Linked DNA regions of Daphnia pulex. The protein of the gene in region 1 purifies or fractionates together with the protein of each later gene. This does not show direct contact. Links are inferred from orthologs where the notes say so. Each region holds a gene or a part of one and is shown on either strand. Other genes may lie near its edges. The genes, in order: 3-ketoacyl-CoA thiolase, mitochondrial-like; 6-phosphogluconate dehydrogenase, decarboxylating-like.

Region 1 (3,924 bases):
GTTCCAAAGAGAAACCTATATATTAAGAAGGACATTGAATTGAAAGAATTACCTTTAATCAGCATTTGATATGATACCAAATATTAGTAAGGTCAAAAAGTTTGTAAGATAATTTCACTTACAATTCACTCGACTGCTGATCTTGAATTCCTCTATATATCATTTTATCTTCATGGTTATCAAGCTGCTTGAATTTGACTGCTAAATCCTGGTGAATGGGAGAAAACAAATCATATCAGTTTCACACAGGTTAATGATCTAAAGGGTATGTTACATGCAGAAGGTTGTAATAGTTTGGTTTTGATGTGTAGAATAAGCTGTGAAAAGGTCTGCCATTCATATCAAATTCTGCTGCTTTCCGTTTGGGGTAAATTTCGTCAGGATGTTTCATCATTGGTCTTGCTCGTGGGTCGTACAGCCCAGATGGAAACAAATACCTGATAGCCTCCTAAATGTAGATGAAACAAAAGTTATAGCAAAGTTTTTTTTTATTACAAATTTCAAAAGATATTTTGAGTAATGATATTACATTAACATCATGCTGAGTGAAGAATTCAGGGTCTTTTCCCATCATGTTTGCCAAATGTCGTTTCCCAATATTATACTGGTGTAATTGCTCCTTGATGAAATTATCTAACAAATTCAGAGATAAACAAAATTCTATTAAGCAATAATTTAAATGTTTACCATGAATTTTTGCACGCTCCATGTATGATTTCATTGCTTTGCTCATCCGCTTCGTATCGCTCTCCTCAAAATCCAATTTCTGAACATTTGAACTTGCATTGTTGGGACTAAGAGATGAATATTGAAAAGCGGGAGAAGAACAAAAATAAGATCTAACCTAAATTATACAACATTAATAATTTCGTAGAATTTGTAATAAATCATATAATGGAAATATATACCCCCCGAAAGCACTTGGAGTTGAAAATCAACACTTCCCTTAGAGCAGCCATGTGTATCTTGTCTCTGGATTGTTTCTAAAGTAAAAAATATCGACTGGTTTGCACAAGCCCCGCCTTCATTTAGGAGAGACGGTTGTCAGACAACAACCATTTATTTTAAACAAATGTAATTTTTGGAGGTTAGTTTGGATTTGGAATTGGAATTTTTAAATTTCAGTTTTGTGTATGAATTTTTCTGTTTCGTGAAATTTAAAAATTACGAATTACAACTTACAAGTTACAACTTACAACTTTATGCCAACTAGGTCAACGCTAGTCTGCTACGATATCTCGTACTCGTTTACCATACCATATACGTCTTACTCATTGTATATAGACGTAAAAGACGTTATCAAAGTAGAATCGAATACTCTGCTTTCATAGTCGGTCAACCCTTAATAAGGTATCTACGTTTAATCTGCTATCTTCCGTTCTCAACCTAATTTTCGTTCAGAATGGCTTCATTAACACGCGGAATCTTCATCGTCGGTGCCAAGAGAACTCCGTTCGGTACTTTTGGAGGAAAATTGGCCGGCAAGACTTGCGTTGATTTGCAAGAAATTGCTGCCAAGGCTGCACTCTCTGCCGCCAAAGTCAATCCAGAGCTTGTAGATTCCGTTATTATTGGAAATGTCTTGAGTTGCTCTTCAGTGGATGCACCCTACATTTCTAGGCATGTTTCACTTCGATGTGGCATTCCTATTCCTACCCCAGCATTGACAGGTAAAATCAACATATTTTAATAGCATTTACACATTATTAACCAGACAAAAATTATTTCTAGTCAACCGTCTGTGTGGCTCTGGTTTCCAGTCAGTTATTAATGGCGCACATGTAACACAAATAATTCCACACCATAAAAATGACAGGAAATTTCATTCAATTGCATTTGGTATTACAGGATATTTTGATGGGAGATTCTCAAATTGTTTTGGCTGGTGGTTCAGATTCCATGAGCCAAGCTCCCTACGCTGTTAGAGGTATTCGCTTTGGAACCAAACTTGGAGTTGATATTAAGTTGGAAGACATGATGTGGGCTGCCCTAACTGACTTCCATTGCAAGACCCCTGTAATTATATTTCCTTTTGTTTGTTTGTTTCTTATCAGTTTTTTATTGTTGCAATTATTTTTAGATGGGAATTACTGCTGAGAATTTAGCTGAGAAATATAACATCACACGAGAAGAGGTTGACAAGTTTGCTCTCAGATCTCAGTTGAATTGGAAAGCTGCTCATGAAAATGGAAATTTCAAAGGTAATTAAAATTTGCATATCTCAGAATGTATACATAGATAATTTTATCTTTTTTTTTTATTTTACAGCTGAATTGGCTCCTGTATCTTTGGAAATTAAAAAGAAACCTGTTTCTTTTGACACTGATGAACATCCGCGCGTGCAAACTACCATGGAAATGTTGGCCAAGGTACTACAACTCCATAAAAGATATGATTCCAATGTTTCTATATCTAATTTCTGATACTTAAACTAGCTGCCTCCCGTCTTCAAGAAAAATGGAACTGTTACTGCTGGTACAGCATCAGGCATTTGTGATGGTGCTGGAGCCATCATATTGGCCAGCGAAGAAGCATGCAAACTTCATAATCTGACGCCATTGGCTCGTTTGGTATACAAAATCTTTACACTTTTAATGAATACATCATTAATTGTTTTATTTGTAGGTTGGTTATGGTATTGCTGGTGTTGAACCCACTATCATGGGAATCGGACCAGCACCTGCCATTCGTAAAGTATTGGCTAAAGCTAATTTGCAGCTGAAGGATATTGGTGCAGTTGAAATCAACGAAGCCTTCGCGGCTCAGACTATTGCTTGCCAACGTGAACTTGATTTGGATCCTGAAGTCCTTAACGTCAATGGTGGTGCCATCGCTCTTGGTCATCCTCTTGGAGCTTCCGGCTCGCGCATTACCGCGCATTTGGTTCACGAATTGGGGTAATTAATTTTCTTTGATGCGTTGAACCATATGCTAATTATTTTACTTTTATCATTAGACGTCGCAAACTGAAATATGCTATCGGATCGGCTTGTATTGGTGGTGGTCAAGGAGTAGCTCTTCTTCTTGAGGGCATGAATTAATCGGTTGTTACTTCGTGCGGGGCAATATTAGTGCGAAGACTTTGATTTTTAAGAAATCACAATCCAGTAACAATGCAAAAAATATATGGATGGATTATAAAAATACTTTAGCAGTTGTTTATTCTTCCATTATTAAATATCAATACAAGTTATTTTACTTTTTCTGCTTTTGGTGCCAAAGATTGATATAATTTAAGTACAGCCGTTTGAACCACTTGTTGAAATCCAACATCTTCAGGACATTCCACCTCCTTTAATAAAAAAGAATTTAGATTTTTATAAGAAAACGGTAATTTTAGACGTTACCAATGCTGTGAGATCTATATTGGCTCTTTTTCCGTCAACGGTAACAATGAATTTATCTCCTTTGAACATTTTTGGAACCGCATCATCTCCAAACATATCTTGAAGCATTTCTATCAAGCATTCCTATATAAATTCACACGTTTAGACCGATATTATTCTCAAACAAATAAAATTTAGTACCTTGAAGCGGGCATGATCAACAGTCGTGGGTAGCACAATCGTCCTCGAACCTTGAAGAGATTCGCACTTTAAGATAGCTGAAAGCACTGCGTCAGCGAACATGTCGTTCACAGAATCAGCCGCCCACTAAACAAATCAAATATTAAACATTAAAGAAGTGGTCTTCACAAATCATTAAGATGCGTACTTCTAATGTAACCAGAGTTTTATCAACAATGACATCAATGGCAGAGAAAAGGCGAAATGTTTTTAGTCCTTTGTCGCTCTCGATAACTTCGACGTCAGGCGAAACGTGAGACAGGACAGCTTGTAACGTTTGCAGATTCCCGCTGTAGTGGATACCCATCCTTTGAGTTACGCTGCTTACAGTCATGTCTGTGTATTCTGCAATTCAAAA
Region 2 (3,924 bases), on another chromosome or scaffold:
CCAAGAATTCATCAAGGATTTCCCCATGGTTTCCATTGAAGATCCCTTTGACCAGGACGATTGGGCTGCATGGACTAGCCTCACCGGCAACACTCCCATCCAGGTAAACAGAAAAGATTATAGACAATTTTTCAATCTATTTCAATTTCTGACTTATTTTTATTATCTGTCAGATCGTTGGTGACGATCTCACGGTCACAAACCCCAAGCGTATCCAAATGGCCGTTGATTGCAAGGCATGCAACTGCTTGCTTCTGAAGGTGAACCAAATCGGAACCGTGACTGAATCCATTGCCGCGCACAAGTTGGCCAAGGCTAACGGATGGGGAACCATGGTCTCTCACCGTTCCGGCGAGACCGAGGATTCCTTCATCGGCGATTTGGTCGTCGGCTTGTCCACTGGACAGGTAAAATAAAATAAAAGTGGTTTAAAGTGCCAAACTAACTAGAAATTTGTGTCGTGACAGATCAAAACCGGTGCTCCTTGCCGCTCTGAGCGTTTGGCCAAGTACAACCAGATCCTGCGTATCGAAGAGGAATTGGGAGCTGCTGCCAAGTACGCTGGCAAGAATTTCCGTCACCCATTGTAAACAAATGGACAAGATTCATCCCGACCTACGAGTCATTCACTTAGATTTTTTTCCGTCTGAGTTTCTCGTTACCCTACGGCTTGAAATTTTCTAATCCGTTAGTCCATTTCTATCTTTTAATCAAATGTCTACTTTTTTGTTGTGAACTTGTGATGATGAGAAACGACACTATAGAGTTGGAGTAGTCAAGTGTAGGTTTGGTGTTAAAACACTTACAATCCTTATAGTGATCTGAATGTGTTGGTTCTGATTATTATTTATGTTGATGTATTAAAAGTACCATCGTCATCCAAATCTCAATTTCAAGATATAATTGATAACGATATAAGTTCCAACACGAACAAATAATATGAACAGTTATATACTGATTGTGTGCGTCTGGGAAAGTGAGTAATGGGGTAATCTATTCCTACCTCCCGGGGAATTTAAGGTGGCTAATAATTAGGTTATCAAATCTCATGACTTTATAAGAATTTCCGTTATTTAAGGAAATGCGGTTACAACTATGTAGAAAATCACAGCAACCGCAGACCAAGCAAATACGTGTTTCTTCACGTTGACCACACCCTGAGGCGACGAATATTGTCGCAGTGGATGACTGAACGCGGCTGTTGTGGCGCGGGCTGTCACCTATCAGCTGTTGATAGGATAAAAACCTGTCGTCAAGCCGCACGGAATTAGGCTGGACGAATGATCGATTACTTTGCATTTTTTGTCTACCCCTCCCTTTCCAACATAAAACAGACGATCTCGCGCAGTCCCTATTCAGTAATTGTCGAGTCACGGTTCGTTGCAGATCACATTACCGGCTAGGAAAGCGTGCCTTCTTTTGAAAATGTCTGCTGAACAAGTGTAAGTACTTTTTTAATTTTTTTAAAATGCCGATGTTAACTTAAATCAAAAGATAGGGATCATATTTTTTTCTTGTTCCTCGTGGTGGTCTCTATTTGTTTCATATCGCCTTGAGAATAGTTTTCACTCTTACTCGACTGTGGTTTTGCGGATAAAAAGTATGTGGTTTTACACTAGATCAATTTCCCACATAATAGATAAATACTACTTTCTGTGCTAAGGAATATGTGGCAAGAATAGCTTATGCCATATGTTGGGAGAAGTGAGTGTACATGTCGAAATGCTTCTAGTTCGCCTAAATCCTCGACCTCAATAACAAATAGAGCAGTTGCTTAGCAACAATTGGTTGTGAAAGGTACATTCAATGGAGGATTTTCTTTTCGTGAATAATTCCTTAAGTTTTCGTGACTATGGCGTTATATATCGACCCTTCCAGTTTGAAATGAAATATATGTTGCTGCTGCTTGCCAGCCTCGCTTTCCCCTAAATTTGCTCCAAGGTGGAGTGGTCTGCTACAGCAGTCGATACAATTCGTGTCAGCCAATCACAAGTCGAGGCGGGACCGTTTAATTCTGTTTCAGCAAACAATACTACCTCCATTCCAGCTCTCTCCATGGATGCAAGTTACATTCGTATTTTTTTTTTTCTTATTGGAGAGTCATGTGCTTGATCAAGCTTATTGTCACTCGGTAGTCCCATCGCTTGAGACATTCACGCTGGATACTCTGGTTTAATTCATTTCTACCATGGGAGCTGCAGCTTGTAAACACGTTTTAAATTGTCCCGAACCAGTGTGCGTCACCAAGTTAATTCGTGTTTTGTGTTTTAATCATTTTCATCTAATTTTCTTTTGTCTTCCTCTTTCACAGAGCTGATATTGGTTTGATTGGTTTGGCTGTCATGGGTCAAAACTTGATTCTCAACATGGCTGATCACGGATTCGTCGTTTGTGCCTTTAACCGTACAACGTCGAAAGTGGATGACTTTCTTCACAACGAGGCCAAAGGAAAGAGTGTTGTAGGGGCACACTCCGTTCGTGAATTAGTCGCTAAATTGAAGAAACCTCGTCGTGTCATGATGCTCGTGCAAGGTATAATTTTCTAACCCCATAATTTCAACCTAATCACTTAATGATCTCGTGAATTTCTCTTTTTGTGTAGCTGGCAAAGCTGTCGACCAGTTCATTGACCAACTGGTAGAATTCCTTGAAGCTGGTGATATCATAATTGATGGAGGCAATTCGGAGCACGGTGATACAACACGTCGGTGCACCACCCTTAGAGAGAAAGGCATCCTTTACGTCGGTTCCGGAGTGTCTGGTGGTGAAGAAGGTGCACGATACGGACCTTCCTTGATGCCTGGTGGCCATATCGAAGCTTGGCCACATATCAAACCCATATTTCAGGTGAAATTTTTAACTCAACTAATAATACCACAGGAATAGAATTTTTAAAAGTTTTCCTTATGATTCCCCATGGCGTAGTCGATCTCTGCCAAAAGTGATGGAGAGCCTTGCTGCGATTGGGTAGGAGAAGGTGGAGCAGGTCATTTCGTGAAAATGGTTCACAACGGCATTGAATATGGCGATATGCAATTGATTGCCGAAGCTTACCACCTGATGAAAAGCGTTTTGGGCATGACTCCACCTGAAATGGCTGACGTTTTTGATGAATGGAATAAGGGAGAGTTGGATTCCTTTCTTATTGAAATCACTGCCAATATTTTGCGTTTCCAGGACGACAAAGGTATGCAGCTTCACAGCATATTTGTAGACATAATTTTTTAACTTTAAATTTTATTAAAGGTGATTATTTGGTCGAGAAAATTCGTGATTCTGCTGGACAAAAGGGAACTGGAAAATGGACTGCCATTGCTGCTCTAGACTACGGTGTCCCAGTTACCCTGATCGGCGAAGCAGTTTTTGCTAGGTGCTTATCTTCTCTGCAAGCAGAACGCATCGAAGCCTCTAAAGTGTTGCCTGCACCTGCCTTTAAAGCTTACTCTGGTGAAAGGGCTTCATTCATTGAAGCTATCCGTAAAGTAAGCACTAACTTTTATTTCTGTTTCTTTTTTATTTTTACTGTCTGTAATAAATTATTCCATTTTGTTTCTTTTCAGGCATTGTATGCCTCAAAGATTGTCTCTTATGCTCAAGGTTTTATGTTGCTACGAGAGGCGGCCAAGCAGTATGACTGGACACTTAACTACGGTGGAATTGCGCTCATGTGGCGTGGCGGTTGCATCATCCGAAGGTGGGAGAACGGGAACCATAACTTACGAAACTAGACTTAAAACACTATTAACAATCGGTGGTGTACTTTTAGTGTGTTTTTAGGAAACATCAAATTGGCCTTCGAGCGTAACCCAGATCTCAAGAGCCTGTTAATGGACGACTTTTTCCGACAGGCTGTGGGCACTTGTCAAGAGTCGTGGCGTGATGTGATTGCAACGGCCGCCCAATATGGTGTCCCTGTTCCGGCCT

Evidence for each region.
Region 2: the proteins of 3-ketoacyl-CoA thiolase, mitochondrial-like (region 1) and 6-phosphogluconate dehydrogenase, decarboxylating-like fractionate together in Homo sapiens (co-fractionation; 3 studies listed by BioGRID). This does not show direct contact. The link is inferred for Daphnia pulex from reciprocal best matches to the Homo sapiens genes ACAA2 and PGD.

Annotation. Positions count from the first base shown.
Region 1 is NC_060024.1:9,776,321-9,780,244, reverse strand, and holds 3-ketoacyl-CoA thiolase, mitochondrial-like, read left to right. Parts: upstream 1-1,219; 5' UTR 1,220-1,350; intron 1,351-1,401; 5' UTR 1,402-1,402; coding exon 1,403-1,670; intron 1,671-1,731; coding exon 1,732-1,781; intron 1,782-1,848; coding exon 1,849-2,016; intron 2,017-2,080; coding exon 2,081-2,201; intron 2,202-2,268; coding exon 2,269-2,369; intron 2,370-2,435; coding exon 2,436-2,570; intron 2,571-2,625; coding exon 2,626-2,897; intron 2,898-2,956; coding exon 2,957-3,041; 3' UTR 3,042-3,190; downstream 3,191-3,924. Other genes in the region: 28S ribosomal protein S9, mitochondrial-like, read right to left, coding at 1-15, 123-208, 275-448, 530-633, 688-844, 909-959; cleavage and polyadenylation specificity factor 73-like, read right to left, coding at 3,191-3,292, 3,348-3,470, 3,528-3,653, 3,715-3,911. UniProt on the Homo sapiens protein: In the production of energy from fats, this is one of the enzymes that catalyzes the last step of the mitochondrial beta-oxidation pathway, an aerobic process breaking down fatty acids into acetyl-CoA.
Region 2 is NC_060021.1:7,463,004-7,466,927, forward strand, and holds the start of 6-phosphogluconate dehydrogenase, decarboxylating-like, read left to right. Parts: upstream 1-1,292; 5' UTR 1,293-1,425; coding exon 1,426-1,442; intron 1,443-2,120; exon of another isoform or gene 2,121-2,188; coding exon of another isoform or gene 2,189-2,235; intron 2,236-2,311; coding exon 2,312-2,532; intron 2,533-2,602; coding exon 2,603-2,847; intron 2,848-2,925; coding exon 2,926-3,187; intron 3,188-3,246; coding exon 3,247-3,694; intron 3,695-3,766; coding exon 3,767-3,924. Other genes in the region: enolase-like, read left to right, coding at 1-103, 174-407, 468-590. UniProt on the Homo sapiens protein: Catalyzes the oxidative decarboxylation of 6-phosphogluconate to ribulose 5-phosphate and CO(2), with concomitant reduction of NADP to NADPH.